Linked DNA regions of Struthio camelus. The protein of the gene in region 2 interacts with the protein of the main gene of each other region in a pairwise test. Links are inferred from orthologs where the notes say so. Each region holds a gene or a part of one and is shown on either strand. Other genes may lie near its edges.

The links. The genes of interacting proteins can lie anywhere in the genome.
Region 1: the proteins of BYSL (region 2) and LTV1 interact in binary tests that used the Homo sapiens proteins (3 or more experiments, as listed by UniProt). The two-hybrid records come from large-scale screens. The link is inferred for Struthio camelus from reciprocal best matches to the Homo sapiens genes BYSL and LTV1.

The regions. Positions count from the first base shown.
Region 1 is NC_090944.1:77,173,970-77,181,874, forward strand, and holds the start of LTV1 (protein LTV1 homolog), read left to right. Parts: upstream 1-4,872; 5' UTR 4,873-5,520; coding exon 5,521-5,523; intron 5,524-6,957; coding exon 6,958-7,089; intron 7,090-7,905. UniProt on the Homo sapiens protein: Essential for ribosome biogenesis.
Region 2 is NC_090965.1:6,381,666-6,389,356, forward strand, and holds the start of BYSL (bystin), read left to right. Parts: upstream 1-4,420; 5' UTR 4,421-4,447; coding exon 4,448-4,688; intron 4,689-4,772; coding exon 4,773-4,947; intron 4,948-5,032; coding exon 5,033-5,171; intron 5,172-5,675; coding exon 5,676-5,809; intron 5,810-6,061; coding exon 6,062-6,222; intron 6,223-6,778; coding exon 6,779-6,881; intron 6,882-7,254; coding exon 7,255-7,603; 3' UTR 7,604-7,691. Other genes in the region: MED20 (mediator of RNA polymerase II transcription subunit 20), read right to left, coding at 1,279-1,532, 3,461-3,615, 4,272-4,285. UniProt on the Homo sapiens protein: Required for processing of 20S pre-rRNA precursor and biogenesis of 40S ribosomal subunits. May be required for trophinin-dependent regulation of cell adhesion during implantation of human embryos.

The DNA of each region.
Region 1 (7,905 bases), on a different chromosome or scaffold from region 2:
GGGTAGGAACAAAGAAATGGCATTCTCTGTATCCCCTTGTTCAATCATTAATTCTTTATATAAAAAGTCTTGCAATACTATGTCAAATTTAACCATATTTGAGCATTGTTATAGTACAGTAGAACGTTGCTGAACATACATACCTTCTCTTCCTTTCACGACTTTGTGTGGTGGTATATTAATTTGTAAACTTGTATAAATTTTGGAATTAAAGAAAAACTGTGGTTTGGACAATTATTTCAGCTGGTATGATTTCAAATTAAAAAAAAAGATCTCAATGGATTGTTTGAATGGGCATCTAAATATATGAGTAGGGGCAAGAAGGGTGCAGAGGTGGCCTATTCTAATTACCTGTCACCATTAAAATAGCTCTTAAGATATTTTTTCTAAAAGAGAAGCTGAATTCAATTTACAACAGAATTGTAAATGTAGGAGAGGTATTCGAGCACTGTAGATGACATTTCTGTACATTTGGGAACCGATAGGTTTGTGTCCCTTTCCAGGTCTGTGCAGAACAATTGCTCTAACAGTAAATCATAGCAGTATTAATATGCCGTATTTTATAGATCCAACTGTACCTTAAACACTGGACTTCAAAGAACATGTATTTTCTGTGGCAGAGCTGAAATACACCATGGGTGCTCAGTACTAAGAATCCTTGGGCACATGACTCCTCCCACTCAAGTCTGCAAGGACACCTCTGAGATGACTCCAGTAAGGAGGGCTTGATGATCCAACCACCACAGGTTCCTGGTGCTTAAACTCCAGTGGGATTTTATTAGGGTGCAGTAAAGTCAAGAGGTGCTTATGCACTGAATTTGTTAAAAGAAGGATTGGGGCCATAGTCACCTGAAATTAAATTTTGGTCTTTCTGCCTTTGTAACTTGGATTCATTGGAATTATTTTGCAGTATATAATGAAGTGTCAGCTATCAATAGGCACTGGGCCAGTTCCTGGACTTTTATCGTTTTTATTAATTTGGTAAAAAATAGAAACAAATTGTGCTCAAAGTATCCTGCTTGAATTTCAATAAACGTTCATATTTACGAGTAAAATAAAGTAAACAAAGCTTATGACTTGATTCCCCACTGCCCATCATGCTAGATAGTTACTGATAACTGTAACAAATGGAGGTGAAATGTTACCAGCTTAGAATTGCTGGCGTTTATAAAGCTCACTTTCCACATGCATAAATGACTTTCAAAAGATGTGAGGCTTTGGGGAATCAATACCCTCAACTTTTCAGTTTATGCAGTGTTTATTTTGCATAATAATTATAAAATGAATGCCTCTACTTGTATCTTAGTAACTTGACTTAGAGTGACTGAATACGATAACTTTAAAGAAGCGACTGATCTGATACTGCATTCTACACAGGATATCTGTGAATGTAAATTACAGTAATTGTTACAAATTAATGAGATAAAAACCCAAGAAGCAGCTATCTGCACTGTGGTATATACTTATACACACACACACACAAGTATATTTCAGTATTGTCATCTGAAAAAGAACATGCATTATCTTTTTTATGCAGTACACACATTATGCTTGTGTTTTATGTTTTTACTTAACAAGCAAAACATGTGCACTGCCTAGTTGTACAGTACCGTAGGATACTCTGCTGTGCACAATTCCAAGTGCCTTAGAAAACTGTTTAGCTTTTTGAATTACAGATATGAATGAATATATACAAATATAAAATGAAGAAAATTACCTCAATAAAATTGTTCAGAAAATCTTTACAGAAAACATTTCCTTCTTGAATCTGTAGCAAGTACATGGGTGTGTATGATGGAGTAAACTGCAGAGAGCAGTTATTTGTTGGAAGGTGGTCTCCAAAGATTGAATTCAAAGTCACTGCATGCAAATGAAATGAAGGAAGGATCCTGAAACCTTCCTTTTCATCTTGGGAGCCCTTCACACACACCTAGTAGCTCTCTTGGGGGTGGTCTTATTCATGCAGAGGTGTGTTGAAGTGCTGATAGGTTAAAAATACGTAGTGTACTAGCTCAATAGTGCAGAGACCTAGTTTATGCTCCCAACTTCACAAGTTCTGTATTAGTAAATCAAGCAGTTGTTTTCACTAGCTTCAGCAGAATAACGTGATTGACATGAGAACTGAATTAGAATTACACCTACTGCATTTACATGGACAAGACTGATCCGCGCAGCTCAGGGTTCGAACTAGTCTGCAGAATGTCTGCCCATCTTTTAACGTGACAAAGTAACTGGCAATAACTTTCGCTTTGTAGTTATGTAACCAACCATACCTCCTGTTATTGCAAGAACTAATAGCAAAAATATTTAGCATAAGGTTCCTCAAAAGGAAGGCAGATTGTTGATAATGTTAAAGAAATTTAGGCTTCCTGGCCAGATTCTAATCTCTTTTAAACTGAAGTAAATCCAGAGAGAATGAAGTCCAGAAAGTCTACTACATTTACTCAAGGATAATTTAAATTGCAACATAAGCTAGGGTTATTGATATGTCATTTATTCTACATTACTAAACACTTTTCTGGAAAGAACAGTAATATATTTGAACAAAAGCTTGCCTTCTTTTCCTGCTTATTTAGTATTGAAGTATAAATGTTAAGCTTTGGCTTTTAAACCAAATGCCTTCTGAACATCTATTTGGTAATTAAGGCAGCTAAACGTACAAATAATTTCTGTGGATTGCTCCAGTATACTATTGTGTATACAGTATACTCCCTCTGCGGTGGGACCATTCTGATACTGAGCATTCTTCTTCCATAAACGAAATAGAAGTGGTTAGTGAGCTGACCCCCTTTTCTCCCCACCCTCTGTAAATGCTCTTTGTTGACTTGAAACTGCAAGGCATCTCAGCAGAGAACACAGTGAGAGAGTACACCAGTACAGATGACCTTGTAGGGCTTAGATGAGACTAGAAGTTTAAGTGGAGTCTCCATCTGAGAGACTCCTGCATACATATTTCACATGCAGGTGATACTAAACTCTGAATTTTGAAAGATCAGACATCAGTTGGAAGTAGATGAATCACCCTTAGGTATCAAAAAAGGAGGTACATCAAACACCAGGAAGATGTTTATTACTGCTAATCTCACAATTTTAAAACTAATATCTAGATGTATTACGGTTGAGATGCAGAATCAGTCTTCTGAGATAAGGGAGCCTCTTCCTGTAGTCACAGGGCAAACATATAGCCAAGGTTATTCCCCTTAAACACGTGGAATCGAAAAAGGAAAGACACAGTGTGGAAATGAGTTAAGACAGAAAACCTTGACTTGTAAAACACTGAAGAGGTAAATTTAATTTGCCCCAAATGAAACAGATGATTAGCAAGGAAGCTAAGAGCAAAAGCTAGTTCTTCCAACTTGCAGGCTGACCAATACTCCTAGACCGGATTTTAAATATAGGGTATGAAAGTATTGTTACTGTTGGGTAGGAGGCTGTCCAATTCTCAGTACGAGGGGCAATCCTCTTACCGAGTCAAGGGACGAGTACTTTGCACCATGCAGCGTTCTGCAGGGATACTAGAGTTAGCTCAGGAACCTGGAAGCAATAAGGACTAATTTACTTTGTAACCCGGCAGAGAAATGCTGAGCACTATGTTTTTAACAGTTTGACTATTCCACTCCCATTATCCAAGTTGCCTAGTTAAAAGCTAGCTCAGCTCTATCACTGGTTTTGCACCATGGACATACTATAGGATGGGAGTTAGTCCTGTTCAGTGCAATCCTGAAAAATCTATTCATAGCATGCAACCAAAGGGTTGCTAACCCTCCAGACTGAGAGGCGTGAATCAAAGTTTCATGTGGCTGAACGCCACAAGATGACCACCATATATTTTTAAGACGCAAGAGAAAAGGAGTCTCTAGGCTTTTCTCAGAAATAAGCAGGGATAATTTGAATCCCCCGAGTACAGAAGTCATTCATGGAGCGGATCAGATTAGCTCATCCATTTCCGTGAGATTAACGTGGTGAACCTCATCTTAAAGCTTCAAGACTTCAGAAAACAATAGCAGGAAAGCGAAAATCTGTAGTCTTTTGGAGCTTTAGTGACACCTAGTGAAAAATACTGACATTCACTGAAACATGATTCAAGCTCATTATTATTTTAAGGTATACATACACATTTATTTGGGTGTTCAGATATACAACCATAATATGTGGAACGGTTATTTTAAAAATAATTATTTCTTAGATATCAATAACAATTCTTTCAATAGCTTTTTTTAATTTTTGTAATTGCCTATACACACATAGAAGAAATTCCTCCCGTTTTGTAGCTTACAATTTCTTCTGAAATGCAACAAAACAATTTTACCTAATATGTCTAAACTGCCAAGCATATTTTTTCGTAGCGAGGAGTGTGCGTCTGTGCCCGCACTTGTTTGTGCACAAGTGTGCCCGCGGGCATGCTATATGGCACAGATAGTTTATCTAGTGACATAAGGAGAAAGGACACTGATAATATAAATACATAAATTATACGTATAGCTCTTATTTACACCTCACCCTTCAAATTCGGCCTGAATATAAACTAGCTTGGAGCAATACTGGAAAACTGTGTGGCAGGGACCTCTGAAGCACCGCTAGCTGAAGACCCCCTTTCTGCTGGGCAGGAAGGCAAGTCCTGCCTGTGCCTTCTGCTTAACATAGCTTCTTTATAAAGGTTTATGGTAGTTCCTGAGCGCTCGCCACTTAGTGACGGGAGTGAAATGACTTCAGTTTTTCATACCCTTTCTGTTCTCTCACCTCCTTCACGTGGACAGGGCAGGTATGCCAAGCAGCCAGTCTCCTTTTCACAGGATTCATCGGGGGATTTTGTTCGTGGGCGGGGGCGGGGGAAGGATTCGCTATTGCCGTTGGGGGGGAGACGGGCGGAGCAGAAGATGACCAGCAGGACAGCGCAGTGCCAGCCGCCCCGCACGCCCCGGAGGAGCCCAGGCGACACCGGCGGGACGGAACCGCCGCTGGCGGCCACGCAGGGGGCAGAGCCCCACACACGGCTGAAACGGCCCCCTCCTGCCCCGCGCCGGCCACGCCCCTAACGGCCACCCCGCCGCCGCCGGGGAGGGGGGCACGCGCCTCCCTGCCAGCTAGCTCCGCCCCCCCGCCCTCCCCCTTCCGGTGCGCGGGGTCGGCGGCTGCGCACGCACCTTGCCCTTTGGCCCGACCGAAGCGTTCCGCCGTTGCGGTCCCCTGGCGGGCGGAACCATTCTCCACAAATTGGGGAGGGGGAGAGGGAAGAAAACGCGGATGCGGAGGAGCTCCTTCTGCGCGTTCAGAAAGCCTCTTTTTCACTCTGAAAGTTATTTAGCCCGAGAAAACTCCTGCTGTTCTCGTGATTGCGAAAAAACAACCCGCCCGGCGTGGCAGCCTGTCGGCTTACCCCCCCCTCCCCCCATGGTCCCTGCTTTATCCCAACGCGGAGGCGGCAGCCGCGGCCGTGGTGACGCCGCGGCGGTTCCCGGCCGGGCCGTGTGGTAGCAGCGCCCAGCACCGCCGGCGGGCAGCGCCGGCCGCCCTCGCGCCATGGTGAGCTGCAGCCGTTGCGGGGGAGGGGGGGCTTGTGTCGGTCGCCCCTGCGGCGGGGAGCCGGGCGCTGCCTGTCCCTGATGGGGGGGGGGGGCAGAAGAGGGCGCCTGCAGCCGGTAACCGTCACCCACTCTCCCTTACCCCACTTTCACCCCCTCCCCCCCCAATGGTTTTGGGTTGAAATTGGGGGTTTGGAGGCCTGGTGAACCGTCTCACTTGCTGGGCTGGGCTGGGCTGTGCGGAAGCTTTTTCCTCGGCCCTGTAAGGGTTCAGGGCGCCCCGGAGCTCCGGACCTGCGGGAGGGGCGGGTGCGGCGGCCCCCGGAGTGGTGTTGAAGAGGAGGTGGGCGGGGGTGGAGGGGGCAGCGTGCCGCGGCCTGTGCCGCCTGCCTAGGAATGGTTGAGGCCTGCACGAGGCGAGCACATGCTCCTGGAATGATTTCTGGGTTTGCCATAGGCCAATATTAAGAGGTGGTGTCTAGTTTTCCTGCTTGATGTCCTGCAACGTCAGTGTTTTATAAGCACTTCACTTGTATCACCAGTCAGCAGAAAGTTTGTTCGTAGGGGTAATATGTTGTCTGCTTCCCAGAGCTGATTACATCTCATTTTATGATTATCCTAAGATTTTAAGATATAGGATATTTTTCTTTAACTAGAGATACGTTTTGGCAGTTGATATGCTCAGGACCTTGATGTTAAATGGTGTGTAAGGTTTTATATGTTAAAAGAAGATTAGGTTACATCAGTAAGATAGTCTTCAGGTTACATATATTTTCTATCAATACATGCTAGTAGGTAAACAAAGCTATAAATTTTGATAAAAGTATTTCTTTCAGTTAGATGTGCTGACTTGTAGGAGGGGCTTTTACCCACGTAAGAAAACTGCAGATTTTTGTTGATCCAGAACGTGAATGTATTTGTGGTGTTCAGGTTACATCTGCATAGTGGTGTAGTTGATAATTGTTGGGGTCGATGGTGAATACGTAGAAATTGCATTGAAACATCTATCTGAACAATTTGCAAGAGGCTGTGTTTGTCTAGATGAATTTGCGCCTATCGGTTTCCTGTGTTTCTGTGATGAAGTTTGTTTCAGATATGCCCCAGTGTTTAGAAAGCAGTTACATCTTAGCATACAGTCCTGCAAAGGGATTTTTTAAGTATGTGCCATAATCAAATACTTGTTTCATATTCGTATATTGCCGTTTTACAGCTGAATACGGTTGCATGTGCTATTGGAACACATGAAGTAACTTCATGCTCTTCTGCGTGTGGGCGGAAGAGTTGAGCGAAATACAGCTAGTCTCTTGCTTTGTCTCTAAGTATACGTTTTAAGACTTTATGTTAATAGAGCATGTTTCAGGCAAAAGATCCTTTTTGGATGCATTTTATATTTTGTTTTTTATTAACGATTAACATAACCAAATGTTTTTTGCAGCCTCACAGGAGGAAGAAGCCCTTCATAGAGAAGAAGAAAGCTGTAACATTTCACTTAGTGCACAGAAGTCAGAGGGATCCACTTGCTGCTGATGATACTGCACCCCAGAGAGTTCTGCTGCCTGCGCAGAAAGTAAATACTTGCTTTTACTATTGAGGTTCGGATAGGAAATGCTGCACTGGAGAAAGATGGGTATGGAGTCTTACAGTTGAAGTACATGAGAGAAGATGGTTAAATGCCGGTGTTCAGCTGTAACTTGTTTGTAATTTTTGCCTGATACCCTAAGGAGGTGAAACGTGAATATTATCTTTCTGACCTGTTTGTGTATTTGGTCTCCCTGTATATACTATACGCATCTTTGAAATGGTTCAGAAGCATCCTGAGAGAGGAGCAGAAGTTCTGAAAGTGTTTTGTTACAAAGCTTTCAGAAAAATCAGTTGTGTGGAGAGCTAAAACTCTGAAGATGGATAGAGATAGAACATCTCTCTGTTCTTTTTGCTAGCCAGTTAACATACACTTCTGAACAAGCTTTTGTACTCTGGGAATGTGGAAGTGGGTAGTGAAATAGGAGACAACAGAGAAATAGGAGCAAAGATTATTAAAAGGAAGGCCATGCGAGATTGTGGGAAGGTATAACTGGGACAGAAAAAGGGGACGTTGTAGGGGATTTGATAGTTGTGAATTACTGCCTAATGGATGGAGGGATGGCTAATTGGCAGTAGGGATACAAATATATTAAAAACAACCACAACAAAAAATCATCTCACCCACCCTGAAAAAACAGGCTTTGTCAATTGTGCTGCTTATGAAAAAAGTTGCTTAAATTCCTGCTCAGACAGCGTCTAAACGCTTTACTAAGCGGTTTCAACATTCTAGTTGGTTGTGTGTTAGGATGATGTGTGGAGAGAGGACTGTAGGGACTGCTGTGGAGTCAATATAATCTGAACC
Region 2 (7,691 bases):
TGAAAAAAAAACTACTAAATCAAAACGGAAGCAACCAGACCATCTGGCAAATCTGGTCCTGAACTCTAAAAGTTTAGAGTAAAACAAACTTCTGCTTAACCCCAGATTAACAGGAATGCTGACACTATTACAATGTTTGTGTTTACTCAACTGAAGGGGAAAAAAGAAAAAACACATTTCTCAATCCCCATCACTGCTGGCTAGTAACACCTGCCTGAGTAGGTTCAGTGTGATTATTAATTACGTATCAGGTAATAGGATTTGTGTTTAGAAAGGCATAAGCTCAGCTCTTTGACCTTTAAGCATCTAATTCTCAGCTATCTTAAAGAGTGTTAGGCTTTAATGTATCTAGATATCTTGAGTCTGACCTACTCTGCCTTACCCTTCCCACAGCAGCACAGACCAGCTTCTTGTCTTATTCTGAGAGCCTTTTCAGCCCAGGTGAGGCTCGTCCATGGCTCGTAAGCCTTTGAGTTGCACATCCATTCAGCCAACTGTCTCCCCAAATGACTTCATAGCTCCTCCTGTGACCCTTCATCTGTACTGAAGGATCGCCCTGCAGCTGGCACGAAACAACTGGTGCTCTCAAGCCTAATCAACAGTCAGGCTGCTGAGCAGAAACAGCGGAAGCTGTTTGATGACAGGCTTTGTGCCCACACTGCACCCCACAGTGCAGCAATCCAGGTCAGCCATGGGGTAGGACTGACGCCTGCAACGCAAAGCTCTCTGAAGAGGAGACGCCATCTTTATGCCATGTGCGTGCAGAACCTAGGGCAGGAGGACCGTGCTCTCCACTGGGATGCCTAAGCCCAGCCATTTTCTGCTCAAGATGGGGAAAGAAAGCAAAACCCAAATCAGCATTAAATTATCAGCTAAAGAGATTGTTTTGTCCCCCTTGGTATGTTTAATAACCTGAAGCGTGCTACTAGTGTCGTGCGTCAGGACTTTAAGCAGCTTTTTAGTTTGATGGCATCCCTTCAGGGCTTTGTTTATTGACACTTCAATGACAGGCTCTTCCACAGCTGCAGCTGAGCCCCAGAGTATCTGCCTGAATTAAACCTTGCCTTGAAAAGGCAATAAATACTCCTTGCACATACACGAATACATCTAGTACAAACTAACAGCAACTAGTATACAAGTTCACATTTGAGAGGCTGGCCTGCAGGCCAAGCAGTCAATACATGGAAGGAAGAGGGGCTCAAGATTTCTAGTCTAGCATCTAATATGAGATTTCTCTATCTGTAGTTGTATTTTATATCAATCAAAGACAATCCTTACCTCCACAGATATCCCACGGGCACTGGGCCCCATTGTAACCGTGCCCACCTTCACCAAGAAGTCACAGTACTGGTAGCGGGTTCCCCGGCTCTCTATCTTGTTCGCCTTGGCATTTTGGAAGAAGCCTTTCAGCTTCACCATAAGGATATCAAAGTTGGCATCTGCTATGAGGCAGGGACCATTTTCAAAGAGAGCGAAACAGCTGAGGGGATATTCAGAGTTGTGCATCACATACATCAGCTTGCCTGTCTGCCCTGAAACAAGAGCAATGATATATGGGCTGCAGAAACAACAGTCCTGTGCTTGTATGTGCTTTTAAGAAAGAAACATCTCTTTGCTTTCCCTTTGTTTTCCTTGCTGCTTCAATTCTAGGATCCTTGTATTAGTCTCACACACTTTACGTTTTCTGAGTGTTCCGGAGATAGGTTATATTTCCCTCTTAGGGTTTAAAACTAAAGGAAAAAAAAATCTCATGCAGCCACTCCTTGCCCAGGGACAAGACGGCAGTGCAACTCAAGGGCCAGACTTGGATGTTAGATCTCCAGCAGGATGAGAGGGTCAGCAAAGAGCACCTGCTCCCCTCCCAGAACATGGGGCTGTCCTCTTCAGCCCTGCAGTAAAGGGAGAAAAGCTGGGTTTTGCCTCATCTCCCAGTCGCTGACCAGCCCCACAGAGCTAGCAAAGGAAGGAGGTGCCTGGGCACATTCTGGAAAACAGGACATCCAGAGAGGATGTGCCTAGCTTGTACAGTGATTCAGAAGTGGAAGAGGATTCTCATTTATCTGTGTTGGTTAAAAAAGCCTCTCAACAGATGTGATTGTGCAAGTTCCAGTTCCAGCTCCAGCAAAAAGCCCCTCTCATAGCTTCAAACCTGCAGACACATCCGCAAAACCCGACAGCAGGGCAGCTGAAGCAGCACCCCAGCTGCACCAATCTGCCTGGGAAGAGCGGTGAGGCTGGAAGGGCTCAGTGCTGACCTCTGCAGCCGCAGAAACACTGGAGGGATGTTCACACTGGTTTTTAAATGCTGTTAAAAGCCACATGCTTGGGAGGGAAAAGGAGGGGAGCACAGTCCCCCCAAGTGAGCAGATTAAGTCACGTCTTTCAGCTCTCCCGTTAGGCCCTGTGATGTCCAGAGGGAATGCCAGGTCCTCCAAGCACATCCCCCGGCCACGACTGGGTCATTTCACACCTCAGAAATTCCCCTAGAGCTGCTCACCACCGCCTGCCTGCCCTGGGGAGCCTGCTTTCTTCTCTGCTACCACCTCCTGCCCTCGATCGCTCACCCTCCTGGAGAAGAAGGGCAGAGCAGGTGACAGCAACAAGTTGCTCTCAGGAGACTCCTGTAACTTAGCTGCTGTGCAAAACGCAGCCTCCAAAACAAGTCACCAACAGTAACGCTTTAAGAAGCCTTAGGGAAAAAAACACTGCCAAACTGGCAGCTGGTTTTTGACCACTTATCTTATTTCACACGCACAAAAGAGAGATCCTACACAGCTGCTGATATTCCAGTTAAGAATCCTTAAGCGCTGACACAACACAGCTATCCTCAGTGCAGGAAAGGACAACCGTGGGGCATGTGTGTAACAGAGAAAACAGCATTAGTGAGACACAACAGGCTCCCAAGTGGAACGGCGCGTTTAGTCATTCAACATGTCTGTTCCAGGGCAGCCCACGGCACGCAGCACCCAGCCGCGGGGCCAGCGGAGCTGTCGGAATGACCTTCCCCGGCTCTCTGGGGACGATGCGCAGGGGCGCTATGTTTCCCAAAGCTATTCATCTGAGAGGGGAAGAGGTGAACTGCGGTATGAATCTTTCAAGGTAGAAAAAAGCTTTTACAAGCAGCCAGGCAACTGCCCGTTCCCCACAAGAGCTCAACACAATAAATAAAATGATGCTGACTTGTGGAAGAAACCTCAATTGCAGGGCAGAGCGGCGATCTCGCACGTAGCACGCGCTTGTTCCACAAGGGACCTCGCTGTTACTGCAGCCGGATTTCGCTACCAGCACGCTGGGCACGAGATGAAAGACCGAGAAACGCTCACGGGAGAAGAGAAGCCTCCGAGCTGGCACTGGATGAGAGCCTGCAACCACCTCCCTCCCTTTTACCGCGACCGGTCTCCGGGGGACCGCAGCTGCGGGGCATGCCCGGGGGTGGCGGCAGCGGGGGGCCGGCCCTGACCTTGGTTGCCCATGGTGGAGGCGGCGGTGTGGTAGGTCTCGCAGTCCACGCAAAACGTCCCCTGCTTCTCCGCCCCCAGCAGCTCCAGCTTCCTCGTCAGCATTTCGACCGTCTGCTGGACGCTCTTGCCCTCGGCCACGGGCACCTGCGCCACGCTGCGGGGGGAGGCGTCAGCGGCGCCTGCGAGCCCGGGGACCCGGCCTGGCCGCCACGGCCCCGAGCCAGGGGGTTAACGGCACCCGGGACGGGGGGAGGGCCACGGTGTCCCCCCGTGACAGCACCCACGCTGGGGGGGGGCCATCTGCCACAGCCTCCCCGTGACGGGGCCCATGGAAGGGGGGGGGACAGCTCCCGCTGCGGCCTCCCCGTGACGGGGCCCACGGAAGGGGGGGGGACACCCTCCGCTGCGGCCTCCCCGTGACGGGGCCCACGGAAGGGGGGGGACACCCTCCGCTGCGGCCTCCCCGTGACGGGGCCCACGGAAGGGGGGGGACACCCTCCGCTGCGGCCTCCCCGTGACGAGGCCCACGGAAGGGGGGGGACACCCTCCGCTGCGGCCTCCCCGTGACGGGGCCCACGGAAGGGGGGGGGACAGCTCCCGCTGCGGCCTCCCCGTGACGGGGCCCACGGGAGGAGGAAGGAACACCGCAACCCCCGCAACGAGAGCACCCACGGGGGAGGGAACATGCAGTTGCCCCCCGGCCAGCACCCACGGGGGAACCGTCCGCCGCAGCCCCCCGAGACGGCACCCACGGTGGAGGGGAGAGGGGGAACCGCCTCGCGCCCCCCTCCCCCCCCCCGCCATCCTTACCACGTGACGCCCATGGCGCGCGGCGGCGGCGGCCCCGGCAGCGCCGCTGCCGCGCGGGGGCCGCGGGCGGGGCGGAAGTGACGTGCGGGGCGTGAGGCGGCGTGTGACGTGGTGCCTGCGGCGCCGCGCGCGCCCTCCCGGCCCGGCCTCGCTCCCCCGCCGCCGCCGCCGCCATCATGCCGAAGGCCCCGGCCCGGGCAGGGCCCCGCGAGCGGGCGCCGCCGCTGGCCGAGCAGATCCTGCGGGCGGCGGCGCCGCGGCCCACGGCGCGCGTGAAGCGGCGCGGCGCGGCGGGTGGCGATGATGATGGCGGCTACGTGGACTCGCGGCTGTCGCGGCGGATCCTGGAGCAGGCGCGGCGGCAGCAGGAGGAGCTGGAGGCCGAGCACGGCCCCGGCGCGCCCGCCGCTGCCCTGGGTGAGCCCCGAGGCGGGGTCGGGGGGAGGCCGGGGGGGGGGGGTCCGGCCTTGCCCCGCGCTGACCCGGCCCCGTTTCACGCAGGCCCCGCGCCGCCCGGCCCGGACAGCGAGGAGGAGGAGGCGGCGGCGGAGGAGGAGGAGGAAGAGTGGCCCTCGCTGGAGCAGGCCGCGGCGGGGCGGTGGTGCCAGGAGGTGGCCGTGGACCCCGAGGACGAGAAGGCCATCGAGATGTTCATGAGCAGGAACCCGCCGCTGAGGTGGGCCGGGGGCCGGCGGGGCGCCGGGCCGGGGGCCGGGGACCGACGCTTGACTCACTCTCGCTTCCCTTCGTCCCGGCCCCAGGCGCACGCTGGCGGACATCATCATGGAGAAGATCACGGAGAAGCAGACGGAGGTGGAGACGGCGATGTCGGAGATAACGGGTTGCCCCATGCCTCAGCTCGACCCCCGCGTCCTGGAGGTCTACAGGGGCGTCCGAGAAGTAAGGCCGAGGCGGCTCCGCTCTGCGCGGGGGCCCGGCGGCGAGGCTGCCTCAGAGGCTGTTCTGCTACAGCCCGTAGCGCTCACCTGGCAGCGATCGCTGCCGAGCCCCCCTTTCCCTTCGCTGGTAGTAAGTACAGCGATCAGGACGTGTTCAAGGAGAGAAGCTCAGCTGGGGGTAAATTGGCATTTTCATGAGCAAAGTTGCTAATCTCCTTGCAGTGAGACACCCTGGGAAGCCCGAGAGAAACCCCACACCAGAAATGGGAGGGTGGTGTGATTAGTTAGCACGGCCCAGACAGTGCTTCCCTGGGTGTGCTCTTTCTCTTCAAAATAAATTAACTGCGATTTACATAGTGTCATTCACTGAAGACCCCAGAGTGTTTCTGAATGACTGAATCTCAAGGTCATGAAACAAATCCTGACGAATCCCCATGGTCCTGCTGTCAGTTCCACTATATCACTGCCAGGCTTGCATCCATTCCTTTTTTTGTTTTTTTTTAAGGTGCTGTCCAAATACAGGAGTGGCAAACTCCCCAAGGCATTTAAAATCATTCCTGCCTTATCCAACTGGGAGCAGATCCTGTACATCACAGAGCCAGAGACATGGACAGCAGCTGCCATGTACCAAGCAACCAGGTAGAATTGTGTCTGGGAATTACTGATTTTTTTTTTTTATTATTCGCTTCATCTTTCCACAAGCGAATACCAGATACGCAAAATGCCAGTCTGTGTCCTGCTTTCCTGTTCCTTTGCATGCCAAGGTGGAGGGAGTCATGGGGATCTCATAGCTGATGCCCTGGCTCAGGTACTGCCTGCAGTTACACACTCCCAGGACCTCTCTCCAGAGACAGACAGATCACAGCTTGCTTTGTGCTTCGCTCTTCCCAGGATATTTTCATCCAACCTGAAAGAAAGGATGGCCCAGAGGTTCTACAACCTGGTACTGCTGCCTCGGGTCAGGGATGACATCGCCGAGTACAAGCGTCTCAACTTTCACCTCTACATGGCTTTGAAGAAGGCTTTGTTCAAGCCAGGAGCCTGGTTCAAAGGTAGAGACTTCCCACAGGGTGATGGTTTGTACATAGGAGCCTTGCAGCCATACAGCAGCTGGGAAGCTCAGCAGGGGCATGTGTTGCACACTTGCCTTGTAACAGCACACCATGCTGTGTGTGGTGCGATGACTTCTGTCACGGCTGCAGCAGCCCAAGGGGTTGGTGGGAAGAAGGAGGGCAGAGAAGAAGCAAAAGAGATGTAGAGACCCCCTTGGGCCCATTTGCACCCTTCTGTGCTGAAGGGCAATGGGTACTGGCGGGTTACGCAGGTGCTGCCAGCAGATACTGGCAGATACTTGGTTTCTTTTGGAGGTCAGTAGCCCATTACAAATTATCCTAGGCCTGATCTGCATATTGTCTAGCAACCTGAGGATGTTTGGTGCTAGATGCATGGAGAAGAGGGTGGAAAGAGATATTGAAACTCCCATAACATAAACCAATGGAGGATCCTCTAATTCCTGGAGTCAGATGCATCCGGGGATAGGAGAAGGCAGCTCTGCCTGCTATGTTTAAGGACAGCAGTGTCTAACACTTTCCCCCCCGCCCCTGGCAGGGATCCTCATCCCCCTGTGCGAGTCGGGGACCTGCACGCTGCGGGAAGCCATCATCATCGGCAGCATCCTCACCAAGTGCTCTATCCCTGTCCTTCACTCCAGGTAACGTGGCAGTGGGGCCCTGCTGCCATGGGGTACTGGGAAGGATGGGCAGGGGGAACGGTTCTCCCTTTGTGATGCCGGAGCGATGCAATGGATCTGTCCCTAAGCCTCTCTGGCCTCTCGGAGACAGAGAAGGTTTCACCCAGCTCTGCCTTGTCTGTGCAGGGCTGAGGTTCAAGGCTTCCTGCAGTGCTGGGGCTGTCATCCGTGTGTCTGGGACCCACTGGGGCAGGGCTCAAGGGACAAGCTAACCTGGGAGAAAGGGAGCCTTCAGCTGTCCACGTCACGGGTGCCCCGTAGCTCTTGCTTGGCCTGCAGGTGCTGAGGCCCTGCCACACCTGCCCTCACCTTGGTGCTCCCTCCGTCCCCACAGCGCAGCCATGCTGAAGATTGCTGAGATGCAGTACAGCGGTGCCAACAGCATCTTCCTCCGCTTGCTCATTGACAAGAAGTATGCACTGCCCTTCCGCGTGGTGGATGCGCTTGTCTTCCACTTCCTGGCCTTCCGCACAGACCAGCGGGTCCTCCCTGTCCTGTGGCACCAGAGCTTCCTGGCCTTCGCCCAGCGCTACAAGGAGGACCTGTCCTCGGAGCAGAAAGAGGCCTTGCTCGAGCTGCTCAAATTCCACTGCCACCCACAGATCTCGCCAGAGATCCGGAGGGAGCTGGTGAACTCCAAGACACGGGATGTGGAAGGGCAGCAGCCTGTGGCCATGGAGTGAGCAGGAAGAGGTGGGGAGGCAGGGATCTGCTCTGAGAGCTTGCCAACTGCCTGAGGACGCTGGTGGATGCAGCTTGGAGCTCGGCTCG